2 linked regions of the Anolis sagrei genome follow. The protein of the gene in region 1 purifies or fractionates together with the protein of each later gene. This does not show direct contact. Links are inferred from orthologs where the notes say so. Each region holds a gene or a part of one and is shown in the gene's direction. Other genes may lie near its edges.

What was found.
Region 2: the proteins of ATP11C (region 1) and TMEM30A purify together in Homo sapiens (co-immunoprecipitation; 4 studies listed by BioGRID and IntAct, with this or other methods). This does not show direct contact. The link is inferred for Anolis sagrei from reciprocal best matches to the Homo sapiens genes ATP11C and TMEM30A.

The regions. Positions count from the first base shown.
Region 1 is NC_090030.1:26,810,372-26,826,136, reverse strand, and holds the start of ATP11C (phospholipid-transporting ATPase IG), read left to right. Parts: upstream 1-9,435; 5' UTR 9,436-9,572; coding exon 9,573-9,623; intron 9,624-15,765. UniProt on the Homo sapiens protein: Catalytic component of a P4-ATPase flippase complex which catalyzes the hydrolysis of ATP coupled to the transport of aminophospholipids, phosphatidylserines (PS) and phosphatidylethanolamines (PE), from the outer to the inner leaflet of the plasma membrane.
Region 2 is NC_090021.1:110,951,557-110,967,902, forward strand, and holds the start of TMEM30A (cell cycle control protein 50A), read left to right. Parts: upstream 1-8,810; 5' UTR 8,811-8,964; coding exon 8,965-9,276; intron 9,277-16,346. UniProt on the Homo sapiens protein: Accessory component of a P4-ATPase flippase complex which catalyzes the hydrolysis of ATP coupled to the transport of aminophospholipids from the outer to the inner leaflet of various membranes and ensures the maintenance of asymmetric distribution of phospholipids.

The DNA.
Region 1 (15,765 bases):
AAAGTCATTTCTTCAAAGCAATGAGCTGGAAGACTTTAGAGGGGTGAAGGAAAACATACATTACAGTCTCAATTAGTCCTGGGTCCAAGGGGTTTGAAGCTGAGAAGCCTCACCAAGTTTCCTCTTTCCTCAATGGCTGTGAATGCCAGAGCAAACCACAACACCAGTTCAAATGGCCTATGTTTTGAAGATTCAGGATCTTCCTTTGGTGCCAAAACAACTGGCTTGAAGGCGCCTGGGTCTCCTCAATAATTGTCCAGGACAATCTGGACATAAAGCATGAGTCCCAGGGGTAAAGAACCTCAGAACTGGTGCTAAGTGGTAACTTAAATCAGGGTCCTTTAGATTCAGGTCTCTTACTCACGTCCATCTGGTACGAACTCTGATGGCAGAATGAAAAGAAAAAGGAAGTTCTCCCCTCTTGCAGGAAGAGGTGGAGCCAAACAGTACTGATTGACAGCTACAAGCAACCAATCCATACAACTATACATAAGCAGTGTAAAAAGGGGCAGGATTAAGCATGATACAACAGTTTAAGTCTTACAACTAACAGTTCTATACATAGGTGGCACCACTCGCGCCGTCACAAGCTTGCTCCCTCCTCTCTGTGACTTCCTCTCATATTTATACATGGCTGCTCCATGAGGTCACGAAGAGTCGGGGACGACTGAACGAGTGAACAACAACATCATGTCTCCTCTCAGCCTTCTCTTCTTCAGGCTAAACATGCCCAGCTCTTTAAGCCGCTCTTCATAGGGCTTGTTCTCTAGACCCTTGATCATTTTAGTATTTTCTGTTGGTCATGGGAGAACTGTGTGCCAAGTTTGGTTCAATTCCATCGTTGGTGGGGTTCAGAATGCTCTTTGATTGTAGGTGAACTATAAATCCCAGCAACTACAACTCCCAAATGACAAAATTATTTTTTGAATGAAGGACATACATTGGGTTGTTAGGTGTCTTGTGTCCAAATTTGGTGTCAATACTCCCAGTGGTTTTTGAGTTCTGATGGTATCACAAACGAGCATTACATTTTTATTTATATAGATTACTTCATCTCCAAAGCTAACCTTGAGCAATAGATAGGGAAAAAACCTGGGTTTTTTTTTCTAACCATAGCAGCTCAGGGTTAGGGTGAAAGGATCTCAGGATGTTTTCTACCATTTGGGGAAGAGTTACCTCAGTAACTGAAGGAAAAAGAAAGCAAGATCATCTCTATGTTTTGATGTTCCAAACCTGAAGTGGCCTCAGTTGCTGAGAATTTTTGAGCTTCTAAAGAAAGACCCCTGCGGTCCGCCCAGACAAAGACAGAAGCACATCTTAGTTTTAATTTTATAGGATCTGGGTGTGAAGGCACAATGACGACTTAGACCAACTTAATGTGGCTTTCCCTGGGTTAAACTAACTCAAATCTTGAAGAAGGATTCGGGTTCTCCTTTGAATTAGGGACAATCTCAAAGGCCTTGTTCTTATAGATAGATATCGAGTTATTGAATATTATTAAGCATTACTTCATCTCCAAAGCTTACCTTGAGCTATAGATCGGGAACAAACCTGTTTTTTTTCTAACCATAACAGCTCAGGGTTAGGGTGAAAGGATCTCAGGATATTTTCTACCATTTGGGGAAGAGTTACCTCAGTAACTGAAGGAAAACGAAAGAAAGATCATCTCTATGGTTTCACCAATTGACTGTTTTGTTTGTAACTTTGACAAGCTGTGCCAAGTCTGCCAAGAACTTTGAGAAATAAATACTCCGTTTTGATGTTCCAAACCTGAAGTGGCCTCAGTTGCTGAGAATTTTTGAGCTTCTAAAGAAAGACCCCCACGGTCCGCCCAGACAAAGAGAGAAGCACATCTTAGTTTTAATTTTATAGGATCTGGGTGTGACGGCACACTGACGACTTAGGCCAGCTTAATGTGGCTTTCCCTGGGTTAAACTAACTCAAGTCTTAAAGAAGGATTCGGGTTCTCCTTTGAATTAGGGACAATCTCAAAGGCCTTGTTCTTGTTTATTCGCAAGGCATTTCGCACAATAGTTCTCCGGCTCTCAAATTACCAGCGGCTAGCTTTATCGTGCATTCCAGGCCACAAATAAAGGCAGCGGGAAAGGTCATGATAGGAGTCGGACGATGCGCAGCTGTTAATATAGTAAGTAGGGGAAGTGGGCCTCGTTCAGCTTGACCAAATCCTTTGGCTTATTTTATAACCAGGCTTAGCATCGGAGCGGTCAGTTTTGATTGGGAATTTGTCATCATTGCAACACTGAAATAGCAGGGATCATGTATAGAATAACACTCTTGACCATCCCACACCAAATGGCAAAACCAATCCCCCCCAAACCCACCAGTATTCAAACTTGGGCATATCAGGTATTTATACCAAACTTGGTCCAGTGAGCACATCCTGCATAGCCGATATTTATATTATGGTTCATAGCAGTGACAAAATAATAATCATAGAATCATAGAATCAAAGAGCTGGAAGAGACCTCATGGGCCATCCAGTCCAACCCCATTCTTCCAAGAAGCAGGAATATTGCATTCAAATCACCCCTGACCAATGGCCATCCAGCCTCTGCTTAAAAGCCTCCAAAGAAGGAGTCTCCACCACATCTCCAGAGAGTTCCACTGCTGAACGGCTCTCACAGTCAGGAAGTTCTTCCTAATGTTCAGATGGAATCTCCTCTCTTGTAGTTTGAAGCCATTGTTCCGCGTCCTAGTCTCCAAGGAAGCAGAAAACAAGCTTGCTCCCTCCTCCCTGTGGCTTCCTCTCACATATTTATACATGGCTATCATATCTCCTCTCAGCCTTCTCTTCTTCAGGCTAAACATGCCCAGTTCCCTAAGCCGCTCCTCATAGGGCTTGTTCTCCAGACCCTTGATCATTTTAGTCGCCCTCCTCTGGACACATTCCAGCTTGTCAATATCTCTCTTGAATTGTGGTGCCCAGAATTGGACACAATATTCCAGATGTGGTCTAACCAAAGCAGAATAGAGGGGTAGCATTACTTCCTTAGATCTAGACACTATGCTCCTATTGATGCAGGCCAAAATCCCATTGGCTTTTTTTGCCACCACATCACATTGTTGGCTCATGTTTAACTTGTTGTCCACGAGGACTCCAAGATCTTTTTCACACGTACTGCTCTCGAGCCAGGCATTGTCCCCCATTCTGTATCTTTTCATTTCATTTTTTCTGCCAAAGTGGAGTATCTTGCATTTGTCCCTGTTGAACTTCATTTTGTTAGTTTTGGCCCATTTCTCTAATCTGTCAAGATCGTTTTGAATCCTGCTCCTGTCCTCTGGAGTATTGGCTATCCCTCCCAATTTGGTGTCGTCTGCAAACTTGATGATCCTGCCTTCTAGCCCTTCATCTAAGTCATTAACAAAGATGTTGAACAGGACCGGGCCCAGGTCGGAACCCTGCAGCACTCCACTTGTCACTTCTTTCCAAGATGAAGAGGAAGCATTGGTGAGCACTCTCTGTGTTCGTCCACTTAACCAATTCCAGATCCACCTCACTGTCGTTTTGCCTAGCCCACATTGGACTAGTTTCCTTGCCAGAAGGTCATGGGGAACTTTGTCAAAGGCCTCACTGAAATCCAGGTATGCTACATCCACGGCATTCCCCGCATCTACCCAGCTTGTAGCTCTATCGAAGAAAGAGATCAGATTAGTCTGGCATGACTTGTTTTTGATAAATCCATGTTGACTGTTAGCGATGACCGCATTTGTTTCTAAGTGTTTGCAGACCGCTGCAAGAATAATAAGAAGAATAAGAATAAGAATAAGAATTTTTATTTATTACCTTCCTCTCCTGGTCATAATCCAAGACTCAAATCATGCTGGCTCTCTTCCTGAAGATATTAGATTGCAAAACAGGTCTTACATCCATTTTATTTTATTTGTGGTAGAATAGCTGCTGCCTAACCATGCCACCTAACTTTTCATGCCTGCGGGTATCTAAAACTGTTGGTGTCTAAACTGTAATTAAATGCAATATTCACATTTTGATATGTATACAATAGTTCATTCACTTTATTTACATCTCAGCTTTCTCCGGAAACAAGGCTGTTTGCCATTTGAAACAAAGACTAAACATAGCAACGATTGCCATTGAAATGTTTGTAAACTTTTGCTAATATTTAAAACAACACTAGACATCCATCACAAGGCAAAAGGAAAAGCAGTGAAAAAAAAAGTACAGCATGAAACGCACAGCGTTTTGCCCAAACTTGTTGGAAATACAGTGGAGGCTCGCGTATCCGACCTTCGCTTATCCGACATTCCGTCTTATCCAACGCTCTGATCCAGCGCCCCCTTTTTCTCCAGCATTTCTCCTTCAATTAAAGGAGCGCTCCCCAACTCTCTCCATTCCCGATAATGGAAAAAGGCAAGACATGGAGGAGGAGAATTCAAAATGATCTGAACAGATTAGAGAGATTGGCCAAAACTAAGAAAATGAAGTTAAACAGGGACAAATGCAAGATACTCCACTTAGGCAGAAAAAAACCCTAAAATGCAAAGATACAGAATGGGGGACGCCTGGGCCAAAACAGATGGGCCAAAACTAACAAAATGAAGTTCAGCAGGGACAAATGCAAGATACTCCACTTATTCAGAAAAATAATTGAAATGCAAAGATACAGAATGGGGGACGCCTGGGCCAAAACAGATGGGCCAAAACTAACAAAATGATGTTCAGCAGGGACAAATGCAAGATACTCCACTTAGGCAGAAAAAAATTGAAATGCAAAGATATAGTATGGGGAACGCCTGGGCCAAAACAGATAGGCCAAAACTAACAAAATGAAGTTCAACAGGGACAAATGCAAGATACTCCACTTAGGCAGAAAAAAAACCTGATATGCAAAGATACAGAATGGGGGACGCCTGGCTCGAGAGCAATATGTGTCATAATTGGAAAGAACAGCCACAGCAGTATGATCATATACCGTAATAAAAAAATCAATGATTATAAGAGCTAAGATAAAGATTTTCAGCAAACAACCATAAATCTGAATTAATCTTAATACGGCACTAAGGCTTTGTTGATAGTATTAAATTGCATCCAGCTCTCATAAAATCAATAAAAGGTGTTAGGAAAATAAGCAATCTTCCCTCTGTGTTATTGTTGTTGTGCCAGTGAAACAACCAAGTGTTAACCTTATTACACAGAGTTGTAGTTGTACAAGCTCTGTCCTTTTATCTACCAAGAGTGTTGAGTGTTCTGTCGCGCGCTGGGCCTGTAACAGCTGTACTTTTCTATAGGACGTATACTTTAAGCACAGCGGGAAGCCGGGGGCCTCGAAGAGAGATTCTCAGGGATTTTTCTGAAGTGATGGTCTTTAGAGTCTTTAATGATACAACAAAGTCTTTATTATGGAACAAACACCAAATCTTCAAAGGTTCAAATAACACTTCAAGACTTTCTTAGTCTAGTCCTCAATGGACTGGTACCTGACTTTGAATAACTGTACTTTCTCTGTAAGAAAAGAACCCTTTTTAACCTCACCTAGGCTGTTTACTATCTATGCCTCATCGGTGTGGGACCTACTACCGATTCCAAATGTATCTGGGTAGCGCGTAGACCTACCAGTCGAGACTTGAAGATATTTCAACTGGAGTTCCGTGGATCTGTAATGCTATTCTCCCTTCGAGAATTCTTAGAAAACTTCAGGGCTGTTCCCTCTGATGCTGTGAGGCTGAGAGGCTGCAAGCTCTCGGCCAGAGTTTTTGGGACCTTTCCCCTGGAATTTCTGCTTCTGTATCCCTGGATGTTAATGAGAAAGGAAGCTTTTCTATGGGACGAGCTGGTCTACATCCTATAGCTTAGCTACCTTGTGTGAGACTACCCCAAAAATGGCTCCTTTCCCTCCCAGAGCCGTGAACAAGGGGCGGAACCAAAGAATCATAGAATCAAAGAGTTGGAAGAGACCTCATGGGCCATCCAGTCCAACCCCATTCTGACAGATGGCCATCCAGCCTCTGTTTAAAAGCTTCCAAAGAAGGAGCCTCCACCACACTTCGGGGCAGAGAGTTCCACTGCTGAACGGCTCTCACAGTCAGGAAGTTCTTCCTCATGTTCTAATGGAATCTCCTCTCTTATAGTTTGAAGCCATTGTTCTGTGTCCTAGTCTCCAAGGAAGCAGAAAACAAGCTTGCTCCCTCCTCCTCCCTGTGGCTTCCTCTCACATATTTTTACATGGCTATCGTATCTAATCTCAGCCTTCTCTTCTTCAGGCTAAACATGCCCAGCTCCTTAAGCCACTCCTCATAGGGCTTGTTCTCCAGACCCTTGATCGTTTTAGTCACCCTCCTCAGGACACATTCGAGCTTGTCAATATCTCTCTTGAATTGTGGTGCCCAGAATTAGACACAATATTCCATGTGTGGTCTAACCAAGGCGGAATAGAGCATGGGGAGCATGACTTCCCTAGATCTAGACACTATGCTCCTATTGATGCAGGCCAAAATCCCATTGGCTTTTTTGCCGCCACATCTTATATCCATTTTATTTGGTAGAATAAATGGTAGAATAGCTGCTGCCTGACCTGACCTGCCACCTAACTTTTCATGCCTGCAGGTATTTAAAACTGTTGATGTCTTAACTGTAATTAAATGCAATATTCACATTTTGATATGTATACAATAGGCTTGGGCGGTTTCGTTCGTTAATTTCGTAATTCGTTATTAATTCATATTTAAATTAGCTTACGATCCGATATTGAGCCATTTTGAAATAGTGTGAGGAGTAATTAAGAATCGAAACAATTTTTCCAATTTTCGTAATTATTTCGTCATTATTTTCGTAATATAATATAATAATATATAATATGTAATACAATATATTATAATAATATAATATAATAATATATAATATAATATATAATATAATGTAATAATATATAATATATAATATATAATAATATAATATACAATAATATAATATAATAATATTATAATAATATAATATAATAATATTATAATAATATAATATAATAATATATAATATAATAATATTATAATATAATATAATATATAATAATATAATATAATATCGTTGTTGTTTGTTTTCTCACACCAACAGTCAACAACAGAGGGAGAGGAAGCTTCAGAAGTTCTCCCTGTCCCATTTGGAGGTTTTTTTAGCATATTGCGCAATCGCGTCCGTCATTAACGAATCGATTCGAAATTTACGAAATTTCATAAATTTCGAACTTTTTTAAAGAAAAAATTCGGAATTCTTTAAAAAAAGGAAACACGAGTTTAGAAACAAATTTTTCCGTTGTTACCCAAGCCTAGTATACAATAGTTATTCACTTTATTTACATCTCAGCTTTCTCCGGAAACTGTTTGCCATTTGAAACAAAGACTAAACATAGCAACGATTGCCATTGAAATGTTTGTAAACTTTTGCTAATATTTAAAACAACACTAGACATCCATCACAAGGCAAAAGGAAAAGCAGTGAAAAATAGTACAGCATGAAATGCACAGTGTTTTGCTCAAACTTGTTGAAAATACAGTGGAGTCCCGTATATCCGACCGCTCGCAGAGCTCAGGTGGTGTTGTATTTCAGTGTCGATGTTGACTTTGTTGGAGAGGTCTTCTCTTGTCTTCCCAAGAGATTTGCAGGATTTTCCGGAGGGAGCGCTGATGGAATTGTTCCAGGAGTTGCATGTGACGTCTGTAGACAGTCCACGTTTCGCAGGCATATAGCAGGGTTGGGAGGACAATCGCTTTATAAACAAGCAGCTTGGACTCCCTACGGATGTCCCAGTCCTCAAACATTCTCTGCTTCATTCGGGAAAATGCTGCACTTGCAGAGCTCAGGTGGTGTTGTATTTCAGTGTCGATACTGACTTTGGTGGAGAGGTGGCTGCCAAGGGAGCGGAAATGGTCAACATTTTCTAATGTTACACCATTAAGCTGTATTTCTGGCATTGGAGAGGGATTGCCTGGTGACTGATGGAAGAGCACTTTGGTTTTCTCGATGTTTAATGATAGGCCGAGCTTCCCGTATGCTTCTGCAAATGCCACACGCACACACAATGCAGCCATTAAACTGAATTGTGGGTTTTGGCACAGAACGGTTGCCAATTACACATCCAGATGTGCTTCGCATCGCTTTTGCAAGTATTGTTAGGCGTTTCACCCTAAGAGGCAAGAACTCCCACCTCTGAGGATGCTTGCCATAGATGCAGGCGAAACGTCAGGAGAAATGCCTCTAGAACATGGCCCTATAGCCCGAAAAAAACCCACAAGAACTTAACTCCCATTGACTTGTGCAGAACTTGGTGCATATTTCAAAGCAGGGAGTCCTATTGACTATTAGAATCATAGAATCAAAGAGTTGGAAGAGACCTCATGGGCCATCCAGTCCAACCTCCTGCCAAGAAGCAGGAATATTGCATTCAAATCACCCCTGACAAATGGCCATCCAGCCTCTGCTTAAAAGCTTCCAAAGAAGGAGCCTCCACCACACTCTGGGGCAGAGAGTTCCACTGCTGAACGGCTCTCACAGTCAGGAAGTTCTTCCTAATGTTCAGATGGAATTTCCTCTCTTGTAGTTTGAAGCCATTGTTCCGCGTCCTAGTCTCCAAGGAAGCAGAAAACAAGCTTGCTCCCTCCTCCCTGTGGCTTCCTCTCACATATTTATACATGGCTATCATATCTCCTCTCAGCCTTCTCTTCTTCAGGCTAAACATGCCCAGTTCCTTAAGCCGCTCCTCATAGGGCTTGTTCTCCAGATCCTTGATCATTTTAGTCGCCCTCCTCTGGACACATTCCAGCTTGTCAATATCTCTCTTGAATTGTGGCGCCCAGAATTGGACACAATATTCCAGATGTGGCCTAACCAAAGCAGAATAGAGGGGTAGCATTACTTCCCTAGATCTAGACACTATGCTCCTATTGATGCAGGCCAAAATCCCATTGGCTTTTTTTGCCGCCACATCACATTGTTGGCTCATGTTTAACTTGTTGTCCACGAGGACTCCAAGATCTTTTTCACACGTACTGCTCTCGAGCCAGGCATCACCCATTCTGTATCTTTGCATTTCATTTTTTCTGCCAAAGTGGAGTATCTTGCATTTGTCACTGTTGAACTTCATTTTGTTAGTTTTGGCCCATCTTTCTAATCTGTCAAGATCGTTTTGAATTCTGCTCCTGTCCTCTGGACTATTGGCTATCTCTTCCAATTTGGTGTCGTCTGCAAACTTAATGATCATGCCTTCTAGCCCTTCATCTAAGTGTAGAACTTGTGCAGAACTTGGTGCATATTTCAAAGCAGGGAGTCCTATTGACTATTGCAGAACTTGCTCCCAGCTAAACTCATGCAAGAGCTGCACCCTTTAAGGCCCATCAGGTTTTTGGCCTTTCGGGCTCCTCCTCCTCTGAAATTGGATCTAAGGCAAGCTGATCTTTGCCCAGCTTGTCTACAAAAGCAACTTTCCCTTCTCTTTTTGCTCAGCTGCCAAAAAAAGAGACAGCCGTCAACGCCATTTTTATTTCCTTAAATTCGTGCTTTGGGGACATGGAAGAACGTCGTCTGTTTTAGACGGAAAAATAACATGGAATTTGCCTTATCCCCGGAAAGTGTCCTGAAATTGTGGTCTGGCCTGGTAAGAGAAGAGAGCAAATAGATAGAGCCGGTTCTCCTTGCAAGAGAATGGCATTTTGCTTGTTATCTCTGCAAAAAGAATGCAAAGGGAGAACAATCTGTTTCGGAAAAACAGAAACTGATAAAAGGAATGAAGTAGTTAAGGCGGAATGTCAGTTCGGATAAAGTCGTTCTATCTCGAACACACTTAAGCAACTCACAAAAGTGTTGTTTCAACATGCCATGAATGGGAAAAACATATTTGCTTTGGATTCCAAAGAGAATAGGCTTGGAGAGTGCCAAGAAAAAAGGCTTTGTTGCTGTGTGTTCAATGTGTTACGTAAAATATCCCGTTTTCTCCCTTTTTCGCTGTAAAGTTTTAGAATTTGCTTCCCTTCTCCTGATACTTTGCTTCATGTTTTATTATATTAGCAAGTTACAATTAATGGCTATTTTCAACCCAAATTTGGTGAGTTGCAGCTTTGGCACAAACCAGCGTTTGTGAGAAGTGTCGTTGAGTTTTGCTTTGTTGTGGCTTTGAGTCTCCTTTAAGAGAAAAGTTGAAATCTTATCACAACAACAATAACAACAATTGGTTTGCTGTGAGTTTGTCGAAGCTTTCATGGCTGGAATGACTGGGCTGCTGTGAGTTTTCCAGACTGTCCGGCCATGTTACAGAAGCATTCTCTCCTGACATTTTGCCAACATCTATGGCAATAACAATTGGTTTGCTGTGAGGTTGTCGAAGCTTTCATGGCTGGAATGACTGGGTTACTGTGAGTTTTGCAGGCTGTCTGGCCATGTTCCAGAAGCATTCTCTCCTGACGTTTTGCCAACATCTATGACAATAACAACAATTGGTTTGCTGTGAGTTTGTCGAAGCTTTCATGGCTGGAATAACTGGGTTGCTGTGAGTTTTCCAGGCTGTCTGGCTATGATCCAGAAGCATTCTCTCCTGACATTTTCCCCACATCTATGGCAGGCATCCTCAGAGGTTGTGAGGTCCATTGGAAACTAGGCAAGTGGGGTTTATATTATCTGTGGAATAATAATTGAAATGCAGATTAAATTTCAACTTCTTTGAATTTAGTGAAGGAATAAAGAGTACATCCACACGGTTGATTTATGAATGTTGGTTTACCATACAACCGAAAGGAAAAGTTTTTTAAAAAATGGCAGCTCATTGAAACCCCTTTCCAACTTTGGAAAGAGGATGCCAAGCTCAGTGCACGAGCAAAAAAAAGTGATTTTAGTTAGAAACAGGATTCTAATATCCATTCTGGAGATCCAGAAAAGACCAGGTTTCCTATTAGCTTTAGTGCAACTTAATGTTAGAGGTAATGTCCTTTGTTTCGCCATTTGATGGAGCAAAAGGGCAGCTATTTCACCGTTGTGTAACCGGCGAACTCAAGTGACCACGGTGACCATTGTGCAACCTTTGAAATCCATGTTGATATATATATTTACATTGTGCTCAAGGTTTCGAGCCAATGTGGGAAATGAGTGAAGTCCAAAATCCATTTTTTCCAGTCCTTTTTTTTTTTTGTCATGTCAGGAGTGACTTGAGAAACTGCAAGTCGCTTTTGGTGTGAGAGAAATGGCTGTCTGCAAGGACGTTGCCCAGGGGATGCCCAGATGTTTTGATGTTTTTACCATCCTTGTGGGAGGCTTCTCCTACGTCCCCACATGAGGAGCTGGAGCTGACAGAGGGAGCTCATCCGCCTCTTCCCGGATTCGATCCTGCGACCTGTCCGTCCGTCCGTCCATCCATCATTGATCTTCTGTCTGTCCATCCATCCATGCATCTATTAGATTCTTCAGACGACAGTCAGTCAGTCTATCTATCTATCTATCTATCTATCTATCTATCTATCTATAATCTGTCCATCCTTCAGTTCATCCATTGGATTCTTCAGACACCTGGTCAGTCTGTCTGTCTGTCTGTCTGTCTGGTCAGTCCATCTGTCCACCCATCCATCCATCCTTGATCATTGAATATCCGTTTGTCCGTCCATCCATCCATCCATCCATCCATCCATTGGATTCTTCGGACCCCTGGTCAGTCAGTCAATCTGTCTGTCTGTCTGTCTGTCTGTCTCTCCCTCCCCCCCCCCCTCTATCTATCTATCTTTAATCTGTCCATCCTTCCATTCATCCATTGGATTCTTCAGACACCTGGTCAGTCAGTCTGTCTGTCTGGTCAATCTGTCTGTCCATCCATCCATCTATGCATCTATTAAATTCTTCAGACCCCTGGTCAGACAGTCAATCTGTCTGTCTGTCTCTCTGTCTATCTATCTTATCTATCTATCTATCTATAATCTGTCCATCCTTCCATCCATCTATCGATCTATCATCTATTCATCCATCCATTCATCTATTAGATTCTTCAGTCCCCTGGTCAGTCAGTCAGTCAATCTGTCTGTCTATCTATCTGTCTGTCTGTCTGTCTGTTTGATTCTTCAGATACTGGTCAGTCTGTCAGTCTGTCTGGTCAGTCCGTCCATCCATCCACCTATCATCGATCATTGATCATCCGTCTGTCCATCCATCTATCCATCTATTGGATTCTTCAGACCCCTGGTCGGTCGGTCGGTCGGTCGGTCGGTCAGTCAGTCAGTCAGTCAATCTGTCTATCTATCTATCTATCTATCTATCTATCTATCTATCTATAATTTGTCCATCTGTCTATCTGTCTGTCTGTCCAACCATCCATCCATGCATCTATTGAATTCTTCAGACCCCTGGTCAGTCAGTCAATCTGTCTGTCTGTCTGCCTATCAATCAATCAATCAATCAATTAATCAATAAATCATCTGTCTGTCTGTCCAACCATCCATCCATGCATCTATTGAATTCTTCAGACGCCTGGTCAGTCAGTCAGTCAGTCAGTCAGTCTGTCTGTCTGTCTGTCTGTCTGTCTGCCAATCAATCAATCATCTATCTGTCTGTCTAACCATCCATCCATGCATCTATTGAATTCTTCAGACCCCTGGTCAGTCAGTCAATTTGGCTATCTATCTATCTATCTATCTATCTATCTATCTATCTATCTATCATCTGTCTGTCACCGAACATCCATGCATGCATCTATTGAATTCTTCAGACCCCTGGTCAGTCAGTCAGTCTCTCTCTCTCTCTCTCTCTCTCTCTCTCTCATATCTGTCTGTCCGTCCAACCATCCATCCATTTATTCATTGGATCCTTCAGACCTCTGATCTGTCTGTCTGTCTGTCTGTCTGTCTCTATCTATCTTATCTGTCATCTGTTTATCCGGCCTGCTCTTCTTCAAGGAAGAAACCCAGCCTTGGTTGTCTTTGCATTCCATGGCAGTTGGTACCCAGGCTGGGCAGTTGCCATGCCAACGCCTCTGATGCTGGGACCTTTCTCCTCTGCCTCTGTTCTGGGATCGGCCAGGTGGTTTGGAGGGGTGCCTTTGCACCCCAAAAGAGGAACTTTAACCACCCTATCATCTCCAACCCATGTTCTAGATCCTTATCAGATATGGACAAGAAGCCAGTTTCCCAGCAAGGAGAAAAGCAATCTTCTGTAAGTGGCCTGGAGATGAGGAATCACCTGGCATTGAACCATCCAACTTTGGCATCTGAAGCTCTCAACAGAAAGTAGATACTAATCTCTGCCCCACGTGCCTGCGGTCCATATGAAACTTGTACTTGTATATGAATGTAAACCCCTTTTGAGAGTTTTAGGCTGACATAGTTTAGTGCAGACCTGGGCAAACTTGGTCCCTCCAGGTGTTTAGGACTCCAACTCTCACAATTCCTAACCGTCAAGTTTGCTGCCTTCTTTTTGTTCTGTTGAATTATATATATTACTAGCCCTCCCCTGCCACACGTTGTATGGCCCAGTCTGTAGAGATGTGTTTTGTGTGTGTATATATATGTGTATATGTGTGTATTTATATATTTGTGTATATGTGTGTTTATGTGGTTATGCGCATGCGTTGTAATTTTTTTTTGGCTTTTTAAGTCTATTCCGCTGTGTTTTTCAGTGTTTTTATGAGTAACTGTGGCCAAACCTTCCCTCCCTCTTTCTTGCCTTTCATTCTCTCCTTCCTTCCCTCCCTCTTTCCTTCCTTCCCTCTTTTTCTTTTCCTTTTTCTTTCTTTATTCTCTACCTGTTTCTTTCCTTCCTTCCTTTGCTCTTTGGTTCCATCTTTCCTTCTCTCCTTCCTTCCCTCCCTCCCTCTCTCTCTCTTTTGTTCCTTCTCTCCTTCCCTCCCTCCCTCCCTTCCCTATTTTTCTTTTCCTTCTTCTTTCCCTTTTTCTTTCTTCCTTCTCTATCTGTTTCTTTCCTTCCTTCCTTTGCTCTTTGGTTCCTTCCTTCCTTCCTTCCTTCCTTCCTTCCTTCCTTCCTTCCTTCCTTCTTTCCTTCCCTACCTACCTACCTACCTACCTACCTACCTACCCCTTTCTCTCTTTTGTTCCTTCTCTTCTTCCTTCGTTCTCTCCTTCCTTCCCTCCCTCCCTCTTTCTCTTTTGTTCCTTCTCCCCTTCCTTCCTTCCTTCTTTCCTTCCTTCCTCCCTCCCTCCCTCTTTCCTTCCTTCCTTCCTTCCTTCCTTCCTTCCCTCTTTTTCTTTTCCTTCTTCTTTCCCTTTTTCTTTCTTCCTTCTCTACCTGTTTCTTTCCTTCCTTCCTTTGCTCTTTGGTTCCATTCTTCCTTCTCTCTTTCCTTCCTTCCCTCCCTCCCTCCCTCCCTCCCTCCCTCCCTCCTTCTTTCTCTCTTTTGTCCTGTGTGCCAAGTTTGGTTCAATTCCATCATTGGTGGAGTTCAGAATGCTCTTTGATTATAGCTGAACTATAAATCCCAGTAAGTACAAATACCAAATGTCAAGGTCTATTTCCCTTAAACTCCATCTGTGTTCATATTTGGGCAATATGGAATATTCGTGCCAAGTTTGGTCCAGATACATCATTGTTTGAGTCCACAGTGCTCTCTGGATGTGGGTGAACTACAACTCCCAAACTCAAGGTCAATGCCCACCCTTCTAGTGTTTTCTGTTCGTCATGGGAGTTCTGTGTGCTAAGTTTGGTTCAATTCCATCATTGGTGGAGTTCAGAATGCTCTCTGATTATAAGTGAACTATAAATCCCAGCAACTTCAACTCCCAAATGACAAAATCATTTTTTTTTTGAGTGATGGTCACTCTTTGTGTTGTGAGACCTTTTGTTGCCAAATTTGGTGTGATTTCGTTCATTGGTCCTTTTGTTCTTAAGGTACTCATTACGCATAGAGCATTTATATATAGAGAGAGGGACACTCGTTGGCTTGATAGGTGTCTTCTGTCCAAATTTGGTGTCAGTTCATCCAGTGGATTTTGGGTTAAGTTAATCCCACAAACGAACATTACATTTTTATTTATATAGATCAGGGGTCCCCAAACTACGGCCCGCGGGCCACTTCCGGCCCACCAAAGCCACTTATCCAGCCTGCGGAGGAGGAGTGCCCCCCCCCACACAGTGCCCCTCCCTTGGCTGGCTCACGCTATCCATCAGGCCCGATGGGCAGCGTGAGCCAGCCAAGGGCAGCTGCTCCGCGCGGCCTACTCGCGCGTAAAGCACTTCGCAAGATGCTTTACGCGCGAGTAGGCCGCGCAGGGCTGCTCCTCCCTTGGCAGGCTCACGCTATCTGTCAGGCCCAATGGGCAGCATGAGCTAGCCAAGAGAGGCTGCCCCGGCGCTCCATGCAGTCATGCCGGCCACATGACCTTGGAGGTGTCTACGGACAACGCCAGCTCTTCGACTTAGAAATGCAGATGAGCACCACACCCCAGAGTCAGACACGACTGGACTTCATGTCAGAGGAAAACCTTTAACTAGGAAAATTGTGGAAGATCCAGGGTGGGAGAAAGAACTCTTGTCTGTTGGAGGTAGGCATGAATGTTTCAATTGTCCACCTTGATTACCATTTCATAGCCTGACAGTTTTTAGGGAGAATCCTTTCTTGAGAGGTGATTAGCTGGCCCTGATTGTTTCTTGTCTGGAGTTCCCCTGTGTTTGAGTGTTGTTCTTTATTTACAGTTATAATTTTAGAGTTTTTTAAATACTGGTAGCCAGATTTTGTTCAGACTAGAAATAGGAAGATTTCCCATTCTCTGCTCCTGGAATTACTGCCTAAAGAGGGCGAGAAAGAACCCCCTCCC
Region 2 (16,346 bases), on another chromosome or scaffold:
TCATTTTAGTGGAAGAGCCGTGACAAAAGGAGGCTACAAAGCTGCATCTTTGCTGGGATAGTAAAGCTGAAGATTGTTAACATCTTGGCACCATCTTTAGAACTCAGATTTAACATCTCATAAATGTTGCCCGTCTATGGCCCCCACCTTCATCCTCTTTATTCCTTTGCAACATTTAGCATTTGATGAAAGGCTGTGAGCTCTGAAAGGTAATTGTGTGCCTTTTGATCAGCCTAACCAAGGCATCTTGGCCGTGTTTTTTGGACTCTTCTAAATTTTAAAGAAAATTTTATTCACTCAGTGTGCCTTAGTCATACTTGGATTCAGACAGACTGTTGAAAATATTTTACATTCAGGGTTATACTTTATGAGAGTTGCCATTTGGATATCAAACAACTTTGTCCCAAAGGCAGCCTGTTTTATTAGCTGTAAAGAGAAAGGGTATAAATTATAGTTTTCCCATATGTGTGTGTGTGTGCGTGCGTAAATGTGTGTGTTTATCAGTATGCGTGTACATTCACACACACATATATGGAGAAAAGTGTAATATACATTCACATACACACTGTTCAGATTTTTTGTGTGTGTGTGAATGTCAACAGGTCATACAACAGATTGTGCATACAGATGCTGCTCTGGTCAGCTTTGAGTCAAGCAAGAGCAGTGCCATCTAGTGGGAAATATCTAGAACAGTTAATATTTAAAAAGGAAAACACAACACAATTTATTATTTTTACTATGATCTACTATAGATTGTGCTGCCAAAAATGAGTGGGAGAGATTTTCATATTTAGTCGGGTCTAGTGCTCACCTTCTTTGGCAAAATTGCATCACTAAAATTCAGGTGCACATTAATTCGATGGTGCATTAGAATCGCAGAGCTAAACCGATCTGCGCTGTTAGGTAAGAGATCCCAGCTTGGGATAGACGGTGGCTGTGAAAAGCCTGGTGGGAAGGCCAGACAGTGAGGTGTGGCTTCCCACCAGACTTTTCCAGGCCACTACCTGCATCCTACCAGGCTGGACATAGGGACATGGCTTCACCGTCTCCACCATCTCGCATTACATTCACCAGCAAATCCTTTTTTTTTTTTTGTAAAGCACAGCTTCAAAACTGAGGTGCCCATTATTCGATGGCACATTATACTCAAGTAAATATGGGTACATCAAACTGTTCTAAATTATAATGCAGTACAAGCCTTTTGCTCCCCAGTTTATAAAGCACTGCATTGGAATGAGTGCAAATCTTTAAATCTAGCACATTATTTTATCTTGTGCCACAACTGCAGTGCATTTACGACTTGCACTGGGTATAAGGGAGGGCTGACTAGGGATAGAGAAAGTGTGCATGGATCTTCTACTGATCCTCATGGCTTTCTCACTATGTTCTGTGTTCAGGCAATTGAAAAACCAGGTTGTACTGTATGTTATTGAGATTCTTGGCACATAAGTAGACATAGTTGTTTCCCCTTTATTAAAGTATCACAGGATGTTCCCTGAAAATGAAGATACCAAGGTAATAGAATCATGGAATTGGAAGAAACCTCTTGGGCCATCCAGTCCAAACCCCTGTCAAGAAGCAGAAAAATCTCATTCAAAGCACCTCTGACAGATGGCCATCCAACCTGTTTAAAAGCCTCCAAAGAAGGAGCCTCCACCACACTCCGGGGCAGAGAGTTCCACTGCTGAATAGCTCTCACAGTTAGGAAGTTCTTCCTAATGTTCAGGCAGAATCTCCTTTCCTGTAGTTTGAAGCCATTGTTCTGCGTCCTAGTCTCCAGGGCAGCAGTCCTTTGCCCTCGGCATGATTCCAATCTGTCTTTTGGAAATGTCACAATTCAGGTAGCCCTAACCTGCGTCATGTGTTTGAAGTGGTCATTTGAAGTTTCTGTACTGTAAATATACTAGTGATTATGTTGTGGGGCCCTCATTGCCTTACATGTTTTCCCTTGCTAATAGCCATTGCTTTGCTATGTTTTTTCTCCTTCAGAGAGCATCATTATCCACCAGTTACGCATGAACACAAGATGAAACACTGGCCACTCCATTCTGGACTTAAAAACTTCCTTCTCTGCGCTGCTTGGTTGGATCATTTCCGAAGCTCCACTTCTGCCACTGTCCTCTTCCATGCTACTGATGATGTATGGAAGGAATTTACTTCTTCTGTCACAATCTGAGGGGTTTTGTGCAGATTTTAATTGTTTGTTTTGTTTTTTTTTTTTAAAAAGAAAAATGTGTTTGCTGATTTTTTAAAAACGAGATGGAAAAGGAATTACATCTTCTGTGCCAGTTTTGCTCTAACTCTGAATTCATTGGCACCTGCTTGATTTTTGTTTGAAGTTTCCTACATAATTTATTTTTATAATACACTTTGTGATGCAGTGTTTTTTTGTTATGTATTTCCCTCCAACTTTGATTTTTGTTGTTTGTGGCACGTTCATTTGTAGAATAACACTGTCAAAACTGCCATTGCCTGTGTGGAGTCTATGAAAATGTTGACTTGACCTCAAAGATGGCACTTTTTCGAGGAAACTTGCCACAAGGTTACCTAGCCATAATATGACTGTGAGATTAGTTGCCCTGAGGACTGCTTTGTGAGGATAGTTTTATAGTGGGGTTTTGCCTCTTGCACTGTGCGATGGTTTAATATAAAACCGAATACCAACAAACCAAAGCCTTGAAACTGTGTTAGATGCTGAGGTCTATTAAAACAATGCTCATATATTGTGTGCTTTTACATACACCTATACCAAAAAAAGTTCATTTTTATCACATTGTAACAAATAAATTTTCACAAGTGTGCAACACTGCTATGGTGTCTCAGTTGTACCCTTGTGATAGAAGACAGTTAAGACCTTATTGGCAGTTCAATAAGATTTAGGGGTGAGGGGGTATTTTTTTTCTTCGTGTCAGAAGCAACTTGAGAAACTGCAAGTCGCTTCTGATGTGATAGAATTGGCCATCTGCAAGGACGTTGCCCAGGGGTGACCTGCTTATTGATGTTGTATCATCTTGTGGGAAGCTTTTCTCATCTACCCGCAGGAGAAGCTAGATCTCGACAGCAGGGAGCTTATCCCGCTCCTCAGATTCAAACCGCCTGTCAGTCGACCAGTTTTTGCTGGCACAAGGGTTTAACCCATTGTGCCACTGGGGGCTCCTGGAATGGGGGAGCTGATTCCTTGTGAGTCAAGTATTGACTCAATATAGTTCAGTCTTATGCAGAGTTTAATACACCTAAGGTGATTTATTTCTCTAAACCGAGGAACATTTGTCAACATCAGTTCATGCTGTAGGTTGGGCGGCTATGATAAACTCCACATTGCTATATGCAAGAAGGGGAAAATGGAAGGAAAAAGGAAGAGGGGCCGACCAAGGACAAGATGGATGGATAGTATCCTTGAAGTGACTGGCTTGACCTTGAAGGAGCTGGGGGTGGCCAAGGCCAACAGGGAGCTCTGGCGTGGGCTGGTCCATGAGATCACAAAGAGTCAGAAGCAACTGAACGAGTAAACAACAACAATATGCAAGAAGGCATACAAACCTAACACTGTGTACCTATAGAAGAAATGTCAGGTCTGAAATGAGCAATGCAGCAGTGATGGCAGTGGCTGGGATCCAAAGATGTTTGCATAGGAGACTAAATTGGTTTTGCACATATATCAATATTCTGTCTTCTTGCTACAGTAAATGACTTCCCTGAAGGTCTCTTAACCCTTGATAGTTTTTTAAAAAAATAAGGATGGACATGTGGAATGAAACATGCACAACTCTCAGGACTTCAGTCCATTTTTATTTGTTCATTGTCATTCAAGTTAGTGCAAGAACGTCTAGTCCCTTAGTTCCCAACACGGTGCATATACCCCACAGTGGGGAAATTTGATTTTTAAGGGGGGCAATTTGAGAATGAGTTATTAACAGGATTTTTTTTTGCATTTCTTACAGTTCTTGGGGCCTCATATAAAGTATATAAATACATATTGTAACATAAAAGGTAAAGGTTTCCCCTTGACATTCAGTCTAGTCATGTCCGACTCTGGGGTGTGGTGCTAATCTCCATTTCTAAGCTGAAGAGCCAGAGTTGTCCGTAGACACCTCCAAGGTCATGTGGCATGAAGCACCTTCCCACAGAAGTGGTACCTATTGATCTACTCACATCTGCATGTTTTTGAACTTCGAGGTTGGCAGAAGTTGGGGCTAACAGTGGGATCTGACCCAGCTCCCCAGATTCGAACCGCCGACCTTTCAGACAGCAAGTTCAGCAGCTCAGTGGTTTAACCCACTGCGCCAGTGGGGGCTCCATACTGTAACATATTCATTTTAAAAATTAAAATCAGAATTTACATGGCAATCAGCTGGTGACAATGGAGAAGGGGAGAGTCCACTCATAGAGTGTTGAGAGCATGGAGTTAACTAGACAGCAGAAGAGCACAGAAAAGCACAATTATTACTTTCATAGGTAAGTCAGTATTTTTGTATAATTTAAAAAAAAATTCAGGCGCAAGAAAATTAACATCTAGTGAGAGCATATTCTTGTATTTTCTCACCAAATACATGCAATGAAATTGGACACTTAAAAGTTTCCCTGAATTCTCAATTCAATTTGTTCTTCTATTTTTCTCTTTCATGGATGCCATGTTCTTTGGAAGCTTGTTTAGAGCAAGTTAATGGCCTTTCAGGCTTCCTCCAAGGTCACAGGGGTTCGCTTTTTACATAATAAGAATTATGTGTCACCGGGGGGGGGGGGGGGGTGGTGATCAGGATTTTAGAGATGCTTAGGTGTAACATGGTAAAAAAAGGGGTTGGGAACCACTGGTCTAGACACTCTCTACTGGTGTTTTGCTTGCAGCTATGGCTGGCATCCTCAGAGCATATTTATTTATTTATTTAGGCTCGGAGAGGTTTACAATATACACATGTGATACATTACATATAAAATCAAGAAGAACTTCGATCAGCAAAATTCAAATGCCGCCCTAAAGAAATATTTGCCTGTATATGGCCTCCAGCTACAACAGCTACACGGCCATAGCATGTACTCGAGCTGAGAGTACTTCAACGGCCTAGCTGCCCGACCATAGCAACACCTATTGAATGACTCCTTGTGTCTTAATTGTATTACATCAAAACTAGAATGAAGTCCAAAGAAAATAGTGCACACATCTGAAACAATTATATCTTGTAAGCCTCTCTGAGTCCTGAGTCCCCTTCGGGGTGAGAAGGGTGGCATATAAATGTAGTAAATAAATAAATAAATAAGCAGCAGGACATGATACCCAAGCAAGAGCTGTCTACAACTATAGTAGCTACTGATGGGTGATCTCTCAGCTACCCCTCCTACCAGTCACTACATGGCTGTGAGGCAGCATAGGAAAAACTGACCAATTTTCAGAGATTCTTACACTGAGGAGAAACATACTTAAAGTCTTGTCAAAAGTATTGTTGAAGGCTTTCATGGCCGGAATCACTGGGGTGTTGTAGGTTTTTTCGGGCTTTGTGGCCATGGTCTAGAGGCATTCTCTCCTGACATTTCGCCTGCATCTATGGCAAGCATCCTCAGAGGTAGTGAGGTCTGTTGGAACTAGAAAAAATGGGTTTATATACATACTTAAAGTCCTTTTCTCCTTTATGGGAACCACAAACTTAAAGAAATACATTTCTAGTTGGTAGCTGCCACAGGATATTAGGCACGGATTGCAGTCACAAGCCATAGCAACGCATGCTCCTTTTTTTTGGATGTCTTTCCCTTGCATTTTCTGACCTGCATGATAAAGACAGGATCTTCAGCTTTTGGAGTTGTTTGTCCCATCTCAGCCCACGGGCAACAGCCACAGTGGATGATATTCCTTCTTATAGATTTGTGCTTCGAGGCTGATGAGCCCTGAGGGGCATGCAAGTACCGCTTTGGAAAGGGTGCACATGCGGGCCTCTTTCCACTGCCAAGAGAAGCATTTTGCCCTCAAGGGCTTGCATAATGTCACAGTGAATCGAATACCTGCCTAATTATGGTTCAGAGAAACCAGCATCTTCCCATCCAACAGAAATGATCAAAGGCTTGGAAACCAAGCCCTATGAGCAACGGCTGAGGGAGTTGGGTATGTTTAGCTTGAAGAAAAGCAAGGCTGAGAGGGGACATGATAGCCATGTCTAAATATTGAGGAAGGACAGTCTTGTTTTCTGATGCTCTGGAGATCAGGACACAGAGCAGTGGATTCAAATTGCAGAAAAAGTGACTCCACTTAAACATTAGGAAGAACTTCCTGTTGGTAAGAGCTGTTTGGCAGTAGAATATGCTGCCTTGGAGCTTGGTGGAGTCTTTCTCAGGAGGTTGTTAAGCAGAGCCTGGGTGGTCATCTGTTGGGAATGATTGTGTATTCCTGCGTGGTTGAATGAAGTTGGATGGGTGGCCCATGTGCTGTCTTGCAACTCTGTAGTTCTATGAACCTGTGAACCACAAGGTGGTTTCCACTTATAATGGCTACATTATGACACATGCAAAATAGTTGCGACTAGCATTGCACCAATCTTTGAAAGAAGATTGAAGGCTTTGAAAGGGTGCTTACATATTTAAACAGATTTTTAATTATTTTAATTGTTTTAAATCTTTATGGTACTATTCCATCTATTGATTCTTAATACTCTTACGTTTAATTCTATTTTAATGTTTACCATTATGTCTTTTCGGTTTTAGATTGTACATTTTAATGATATTTTTTATCATTGTTAATCTCTTTTAAGAGAGAAAAAGTGGGATATAAATGATAAATAAATGACAACAATCAAGATAAATAATAATAAAGACAAGCAACAATAATATAAACAAAAATACCTAAAATATAAAAATACAGATTATTTAAGAAGGGGTTTAATATTTTAATAATTAATAATTAACAATAATAACCATTGATGTTATTGTTTTTAGATATTTTAACTCTCTGGTATTTAATGCAGACGTTTACCAATTGTTATGTTATTTTAAGGCATTGAATAGTTGCCAATATGTGAGGCTGCTCTGAGTCCCCCTCGGGGTTGAGAAGGGCAGGGTACAAATCTATATAAATAAAAATGTAATGTTCGTTTTTGGTATTCACAGAACTCAAAAACCACTGGACGAATTGACACCAAATTTGGACGCAAGACATCTAACAACCCAATGTATGTCCTTCACTCAAAAAAAATTGATTTTGTCATTTGGGAGTTGTAGTTGCTGGGATTTATAGTTCATCCACAATCAAAGAGCACTCTGAACTCCACCAACGATGGAGTTGAACCAAACATGGCACACAAGACTCCCATGACCAACAGAAAACACTAGAAGGGTTTGGTGGGTATTGACCTTGAGTATTGGAGATGTAGTTCACCTACATCCAGAGAGCACTGTGGACTCAAACAGTGATGGATCTGGACCAAACTTGGCACGAATATTCCATATGCCCAAATATGAACACAGATGGAGTTTGGGGGAAATAGACCTTGACATTCGGGAGTTGTAGTTACTGGGATTTATATTTCACCTACAATCAAAGAGCATTCTGAACCCTACCAACGACAGATTTGGGGGAAACTTCCCACATAAGAACCCCCATGTCCAACAGAAAATACTTAAGTCCATCCAGTCCAACTCCCTTCACCAGGGCAAGAAAAAGTAATCAAAGCCCTCCTGACAAAGAGCCATCCAGCCATAGATATTGATAGATATGATTCACACACACAGAGATATAGTATCATAGATTTGAAAGGGACCCCTAAAGATTGACAATTATATGTTGCATGTTCCAGAGTAGGCAAACCAGACCCTCTCCACATCAACAATGACAAAGAAACAGCAAGAAATACTGATTACCCACAATGAGAACACTTTCGCATTACTTTATTTTCCAGATCACCAGACTGGGCCACAGTAACGTGTGGCTGGGGATGGCTAGTATGATAAATAAATAAATACATAAATAAATATATTTTAGGGCTGGGCTAAGATTTAAGGTCTAAGGCAACAGAGCGGTTTAACCCACTGCGTATATTTTAAGTTGTGATGTTTTTGATGGTGAGCCACTTTGAGTCTCTGTATGGAGAGATAAAGCAGGATATACATAAATAAAAAACCCTAATAATAATAATAATAATAATAATAATAATAATATCTTTATTGTATCCCGCTTTTCTTCCACCAAGGGACCCAAAGCGGCTTCCAACATCTTAAAACAGTACAAATCCAAGAAAAACGCATATAACGCCTAAATACCAAACCATAAAACAGCGCAGAAATAAGATTTTAAAACAATAATCCAGTGGTTCTCAACCTTGGGTCCCCAGATGTTTTTGGCCTACAACTCTCAGAAATCCCAGCCAGTTTACCAGCTGTTAGGATTTCTGGGAATTGTAGGCCAAAAACATCTGGGGACCCCAGGTTGAGAACCACTGCAATAATCAATAAATCTTAGCCGTGTTCAATTAAAATACGAATTCATCTCCAATTTTTTTCATATGAGGAGCGACTTGAGAAACTGTAAGTCGCTTCTGGTGTGAGAGAATTGTCCGTCTGCAAGGACGTTACCCGGATGTTTTGATGTTTGTGGGAGGCTTCTCTCGGGTCTCGCCTCCTTCCCAGTGCGCATGCGCGCAAGTGGCCCCGAGCGAATCCTCCTCCGAACGCCGCAGGGCGGGGTGAGCGAGGAGGAGTGGAACGTATCCTAGCGGCGAGCTAAGTAATAAAAGGAGACGACGCAGGGTCCTGGCAGCGTACTGCGCCTGCGCACGGCGTCGAGGGCTATGTGGGAGGTGTTGAGGAGCCCGGAAGGAGGGGAGGGCTGCTGCTGTTGCTGCTGTTTGGGCGTTGTTGGCGCAGGCGCAGTCGCGGCCCTTATACAGCGCGGCGCGCGCGGCGGGTGGCCAGTGTCAGTTGTCGCCGTTGCTGGCGGCGCTTCCTGTTCCGCCTCTCGCGCGGCCCTCCTCCCCCTCCCCCGCCTCCATGGCTATGAACTACAACGCGAAGGAGGAGGCGGCGGCGGCGGCAGCGGACGGGCACCCGTCGGGGATGGCTTCCATGCCCGGGGGGAGCGGCGGCGGCGGCGGGGGCTTGGGCGGCGCGGCCCGGTCCTCGGTGGGCGCCGCCAAGAGCCGCAAGCCGGACAACACGGCCTTCAAGCAGCAGCGCCTCCCGGCCTGGCAGCCCATCCTCACGGCCGGCACCGTCCTGCCCGCCTTCTTCGTCATCGGCCTCATCTTCATCCCCATCGGCATCGGCATCTTCGTCACCTCCAACAACATCCGCGAGTATGAGGTAAACAGCTCCCTGCCCGCGTCGCCCCTTGCTCGGCTCTGACGTTTGGTCCGCCACCTTGTTTGGACTTCAACTCCCAGAAGCCCCGGCTGGCTTGGCCAACGGCCAGGGACTCTGGGAGATAATAATAAGAATAATGAACCTTATTTCTACCCCGCCACCATCTCCCCAAGAGACTTGGAGCGGCTTACATGAGGCCAAGCCCAACAACACATCAATAAACCAAAAGCAATAAATACAATACAATTAATATAAATCACATATAATAATAATAATAATATTTATTTATTTATTTGATCAGCCATATGACCATTTCAAAATAGAACACGAGTAAAAAACAAGACAAATAAATACTAAATCACATATAAACAATAACACATAAGGATTTAAATACCTGTGGCCAGGTCAAATGTAAGAGTTAAAAAATTAAAAAAATAAGCGCTGGGCATGAACGAGGTAGGATATATCTGGTATAGGGTTTTAAAAGAGATGAGGGAGCGCAGTCAATCCTAAAGTGCACCCTGAGGACATATTTCTGGGAATTTTCCTTATTCTGGGAAGGCACACTGGAACAGCCACGTTTTCAGGCTCCTCCTAAAGACTGCCAATGTTAGGGCATGCCTGATGTCCTTGGGAAGTGAGTTCCAGATTCGGAGGGCCACCACCGAGAAGGCCCTCTCCCTTGTCCTCACCAATCGCGCCTGCGAAGGAGGCAGGGGTGCGAACAGGGCCTCTCCAGATGATCAAAGAGATTGTGTGGGTTCATACAAAGAAATGCGATGAAGTCCAACAGCTCTGGAAGGCCAAGGGTAAGAAAACCCTACATCATCGCTACTGTTAGCCACCTTCTCAGCCTCAGGTCCTTTCTTTTTTCTTCTGAGCTACTTAAGCCAAATTCCCAACCAGAGCACCATTCCACTTTCACTTATTGCACTCATAAATTATCTGAACACTTGGTCCCATATCCAAGTTTTCAGTTTTCCCCTTAAAAGAAAAGAGAGTTTTTCCCCTAAAGGAGAGAGGGGGCTAATATGATGTTACTAGGAAGGGAGTTACACAACCAAGGGGCTACCACTGAGAAGGCCCTGTCTCTCATGCCCAACAACTGCACCTACGGGGGAGGAGGGACCGAGAGCAGGACCTCCCCAGAGGATCTTAAGCTCTGAGATGGTTCATAGAGAGAGATATGTACATCAGAGCCCCTCCCCCAGCAACAATATAATATTATATAATAATATTATGAATGATGTATTAGTACTATACTAATAATATAGTATGTTGTATGTACATATGACTTGTAAGCCACTCTGAGTCCCCTTCGGGGTGAGAAGGGTGGCATATAAATGTCGTAAATAAATAAATAGGTAAGCTGGACCAAAACCATTTAGGGCTTTATAGGCTAAAGCAGTAGTTCTCAACCAATAGGTCCCAAGGTGTTTTGGCCTACAACTCCCAGAAATCCAAGCCAATTTACCAGCTGTTGGGATTTCTGGGAGTTGAAGGCCACAACATCTGGGGACCCATAGGTTGAGAACCACTGGTCTAAGGCCTCACTAAACTACAAAGCCCAGAATTCTGCAAAAGGCAGCAACAAAATTTCAAGTAGGGTGCACACGCTCTACCTCCCCAAACTAAGGTCCACGGCTGGATGTGACCCTCCAAGGTAATTTACTCAGCTCCCAGCCTTAGCATGACCCTAAATCTGAAACAACTGGAAGGCACTCAACAACAATGATCTTAATTAACTTGACTATCTCATCAGCTAGAAGCAGGCCCACACTTTCCATTGAAATACTGCCAATATGTGTTTGGGCTTGGCCCCATGTAAGCCGCCCTGGGTCCCTTCGGGGGGATGGAGGCGGGGTATAAAAATAAAGTTTTTCTTCGTTTTAAATATTTTATTGTCCTTTTTTTACACTACAAATAAAATAGTTCAGTGTGTATAGGAATTATTTCATGTTTTCTTCAAGTTTGAGGATCTCTGCTCAATACCTACTCATTAAAGTGTATCTCAGTAATGATGAGAAGATGAAAAATATACCCTTGAGTGCACCTATACTGACACCACTTGGACAGCCATAGCTCTATTCTATGGGATACTGGGAGTTGTAGTTTGGAGAAACAACAGGATTATTTGCCAGGGAAGGCCAAAGATCTTTGAAAGTACATCTTCCATAGCATTGAGGTGTGGCAGTGAAAGTGGTGTCAAACTGTGTCAATTCAATAGTGTAAGTGCACCTAGATTGTTGCTACTCTCCTCCACCATCTCTCTCCCCCTCCCCCCCCCCTTTCCAGGACTAAAAGCAACAAGTGAACAAGGACAAAGGGTGCCTCTACACTATAAAATGAATGCAGTTTGACACCACTTGAACTCAATGCTGTAATGTTCTGGGATTTGTAGATTAGTAAAGCGGCAGCAGCATATGGCCGAAGAGACTAAAGACCTTGTAAAACTACAGCTCTCATTCTATATAATTGTACCATGACAGTTAAAGTGCTGCCTTAGTCCAATCCTATGGAATTTAGGGATTTGTGGTTTTTCGACACTCTTTCGGCAAGGAGGCTAAAATCCTTGCAAAACAACAACTCTCATGACTCCATAGCAGAAGTGTGTTAAACTGCATTCATTCTAGAGTGTAGGTATGCCTTAAATGTTGTCATGGCAGTTAAATTGGAATCATAGCACTATGACCATGTAAGAGCCAAGTTGTCTTGAGAGGTGAGGCAAGCAGGCCTTAGCAAGTCCCAGACTTCTCTTGAGATAGAAAGAAGGCGATGGCCTGACCTAACTGGTTTTTTTTTGGTTGGCATTATTAAGAAACCCTTTGAACTGATTAATGGCCATGGAGGTGACACAGAGCTTAGTGACGGTGTTAGGAAGGAGATCAGTATTTTGAGGAAATGGAAAATGATGGCACACCCTGCTCACTGTTGCTTTGCTGTGACTTGTGCGAGGTCCAGATCCGCTTGAAAACAATAGCTCCTTTGGGATTATTGAATAGTACCTAGAAATACCAGTCAGTATGATCGGTTAGCTGTGCTGTTTGGAAGAATCTGGGAATTGTTGTTCCACCCAGATAACTTTTCCAAGTTTTGATCCAGGTAAAGGAATGTATCACATATAGGCCTAAATATTGTTGTTAGTCATGGCTAGAGTAGATACATCTGTGTTGACTCACAATTCAGCAATAGCTTGAATAGGTTCTATTTAGACTTAACCAACAGGATACCGGCCATGTTGTTACATATTTGCATGACAGTCATGACTGCACATATAGAGATTAATGTTACCTGTATCTGATGGATGCATTTATGTATAAGATTTACTTAAGATACTTGCAGAACTTTGTGAATAGCTCACATCTTGTACAAATCAGATCTTTTTTAATCAGCTGTTTCCTACGGTTTTTTCACTGATATGAGAAATGTAATGATGAATGGACATAGAAAATGGGGGAAATAGTGTTTGTATGTAAAGCACTCATTGATAAATTACTAAACTGCTAGCGAATAGAGTTCATTACAACATTCATATTCTGTTGGTTTTTCATATTATGGTATGTATTGTAAGTTGAAATGCGTTTCCTTGTGGAAAGAAAAAAATGGGGTATAAATAAACAACAACAACAATAATTAACCCTCCATTAGGCCTCTTCAACCTGCAGCCTTCCAGGTATTTGGACCACTAACTCCCAGAAACCCTTGCCAGCTTATTCAATGGTCGGAAATTCTGGTTGCTGATGTCCAAAATACCTGCAAGGCTGCAGGTTGAAGATTTCTGCCCTGTAAGTCTAGAAAATCAACCAAAAAAAACCTGGGACAACTTATCTATAGGTCACTATCATAACTTATCTTAACTATTTTTTAAAAAGGAATTATTTCCCTGTCTGAATAGCGTGGCAGAATACAAGAGCTTAGCCTGTCCTGGAAGAACCTAAAAAGGACACTGCTGTGACTCTGCTTCTGGCATTTTCAAATGCATGGGTGAGGAAATGTCAGGGATGGCCCCCTGAGGTATGTCGGCCACTTTTCTCTCTCTGTGGAACAACCTTCAAATTATTCATGGGTCAAATAGAACGCCATAATTTGGTCCCCAAAACCCTCCCCGAGTATATATAATAATTAAAAGATGAATTCAAAACTTCATCCCTTTTTTGAGTTGAGAGTATTCATAAAGCCCCCCCCCCCTCCCAATGACCATATTTGATGCAATACTGGCTTATGACACTGACATTCTGTGCCTTTCTCTCCTCCTGACCTGTTTGTACATTTGAGAATTCTAGTTACATGGTATTAAACAGGATAAAAAAGCTAAGATTATAGGAGATTAACATTTACAGCCTTTTATGACCTTGATTTCTGAAGCAGTTGATGAATGTTGGAATATGTAATGATGCAGACTTTGATGGAGAGCCATATTATAGGGAAATATGTTGTGATGGATCTAGTTATTCTTGATATGGAGTTAATTGTTGAGGAAGACATTATGATGAAACTAGTTACTGTAAGTCCCCATTGGACTTATACAACATTGGGATCTTTATTATTCACAACTAACAGTGAATAATAAATATCCCAATGTATGAATGTTTAGAATTCTGATCTGGTAAGCATCAAGCTATCAAAGATTCAGGATATAAGACAAAGTAAAGTGTATGTTAAGTTTGCAGGAAATACGGGAAATAAATAAAGTTGAGAGTAGGAGGAAGAGAAACAGTAAGTTTAAAAAGGATAGAAAAATATTAGTAAATTGGTAGAGTGGGGGTATGAAGTATTCAATTTGTGACATTGGACAATAGGCTTGATTAGGCAGAAGCTTAAAAGGCCATGTTCTGGAGGAACAGAAAGCTTAGTTGATTGAGTAAAAACAATAGTAGGAAAAACTGTGCTTTAGATACAATAGTTGAAACTTAGAGGTAAGGTGCAAATAAGGGCTATGTGAGATCAAGGTTCATTGAAGATCACTTTTAATTGCTTTCATTCAGAAAACTGAATCAATTAAGAAATAGTTGAACTTAGGTTGACCACTACTTCAAAAATTATCTTTCTCTACGTGAGAAGGAAGAGGGCCCCCCAACTCTGTTTTGTGGATTTTGAATACATGATACATTAGAATTATTAATCTTACTTTTGTCCTATAGATAATTGAAACTGTTCAAGTGTTTCTGCTGTTTTTGCTAATACTGTCTAGCAGCCTTTGTCTTCCTTTGTGTTCAGAAAAATGGACATGGAAATATTCAGAGTTGCAGGGGACACACATTTCTCATAGGTCTATGCAATCTGAAGGGTATTGATATAGACAAATAGACTGTCTTTCTAGATATGCATATTCATTACACTTTTTTTGCTCATATTCTGGGTGTGCTATATTTTTTGTGTTACAATGGTTAGGAAAGTAATTACAACCAAGAAATGTAAGAATAATGTTGACAGAAAACTGGTTATACAGAAAACTGGCTATACATAGTAATCTTAAATAATCCTCTAATAGTTTTGTGAGTATTAAATTGACAGCAGATTGTTAAATTATCTCATGGAGAAAGTCAGTTCTCCTCAGTAAGCTTACATCCAAGTTTTGATGGGCTACTGGTTTTGATGATATGTTTGTCTTCAGCATTTCCCTGCATAACGTAGCTATACTACAAGAGTTCTATTTTTGGAATTGTGAAGGTGACTTGAAATGTAAGAAGTATTCAGGAAAGGGAACTAGGGTTCTTAAAGCCAAATCTGGTATGTCAGTAGAATTGTGAATGGCAGCTTGGAGATACTTCTTCTATTGTCCTTTAGAATATGACCCAAGTTGGTGGGTATGCTTTCAAGTACCTTGAAGATTGATATTTTTCAATGATGGGATGAGAAAGTGGACTTAATCCAATACAGGGTAGGGATGGTGATAAAACATCTGCTTGACTGTGACTACAACTATATGAAGTGGCTTGTTGAGCTAGGTGCTGTGTGCCAGAGAAGGGGAATGTGTTTCCCTCCACATTGAAGATTCCATCAGTCCTAACTAGGATAACTCAGGTTGAGTAATGGTGGGAACTACTATCCTTAATAATGTCACTTCATAAATAGAGAAATTCTACTAGTCTGATTTATTCTTCTTCTGGACATTACCATACTAGTCAACTAAAAACACAGCTGTAACATTATACAAGCATATCAGGAAGTACTTTCAATTAAGTCTTTGGAATCATCAGGCATTACTATGTTTACCTAGTTACCTAGTTTCTTCCAGCTTTTTAACATGTTTCTGAAACTCCAAGGAATATGTTAGTGTAGATTTAGAAGACATGCTAGGATTTCTGTATTTGGTTTTAAATATTAGTCAACATGTGACTTATGGCTTGGGTCAAACTACGAATGCATTGTGTAAATCTATTGTCTGTACATTGTTAAACACTGTTATGGCAAGCATCCACTTAAACAGTTTATATTGAGATTATTGCTGCTTATCAACAGACAGATAACGAATTAGAAGCTGAAAGGCATTATGGAACATCAATTGCAAGGTTGTTATTAAAGGTTTCTGCAAGTATTGGATTTTTGTGAAAGCTAATGTATATAATCTCCCCAACACAAAATTAAAACTTATTTCAGAAACAAACTGTATAAGATGCCAATTCTGCTGTCTTCCACTAGACCCGTGATCACATGATAATATCGATAAAATAATAGTATTATTGAGCAAATCCTTGACATTTATCTTGTATTAAAATGAATATTTAAAAATCAATTACTTTAATCAATTTTTGAACTGCATGAAAAATTCAAAAACAAGTTTGCAGTGTACTTCTTGTCCTCCTGATGCACTGTGTTCTGCTAATTGCTTCTAAAAATACAGACCTTTGTTTCCATACATAAGAACACAAAGCACATCACTCAACCTGCCAATGCTGAATTCTTTGCTCTGCTGCTGTTTCTAAAAGAAGCCATTCAGCTTGTCTTTAGGACAAAATTATAACAGATATAATGAGAGATGGAACCTTCGTTTCATCTTGCTAGTGCCCAAAATGTTGTGGTTATAACCAATTGTGCCAAACTGTAAGTTGCAAAGTGGGGAAAATGAA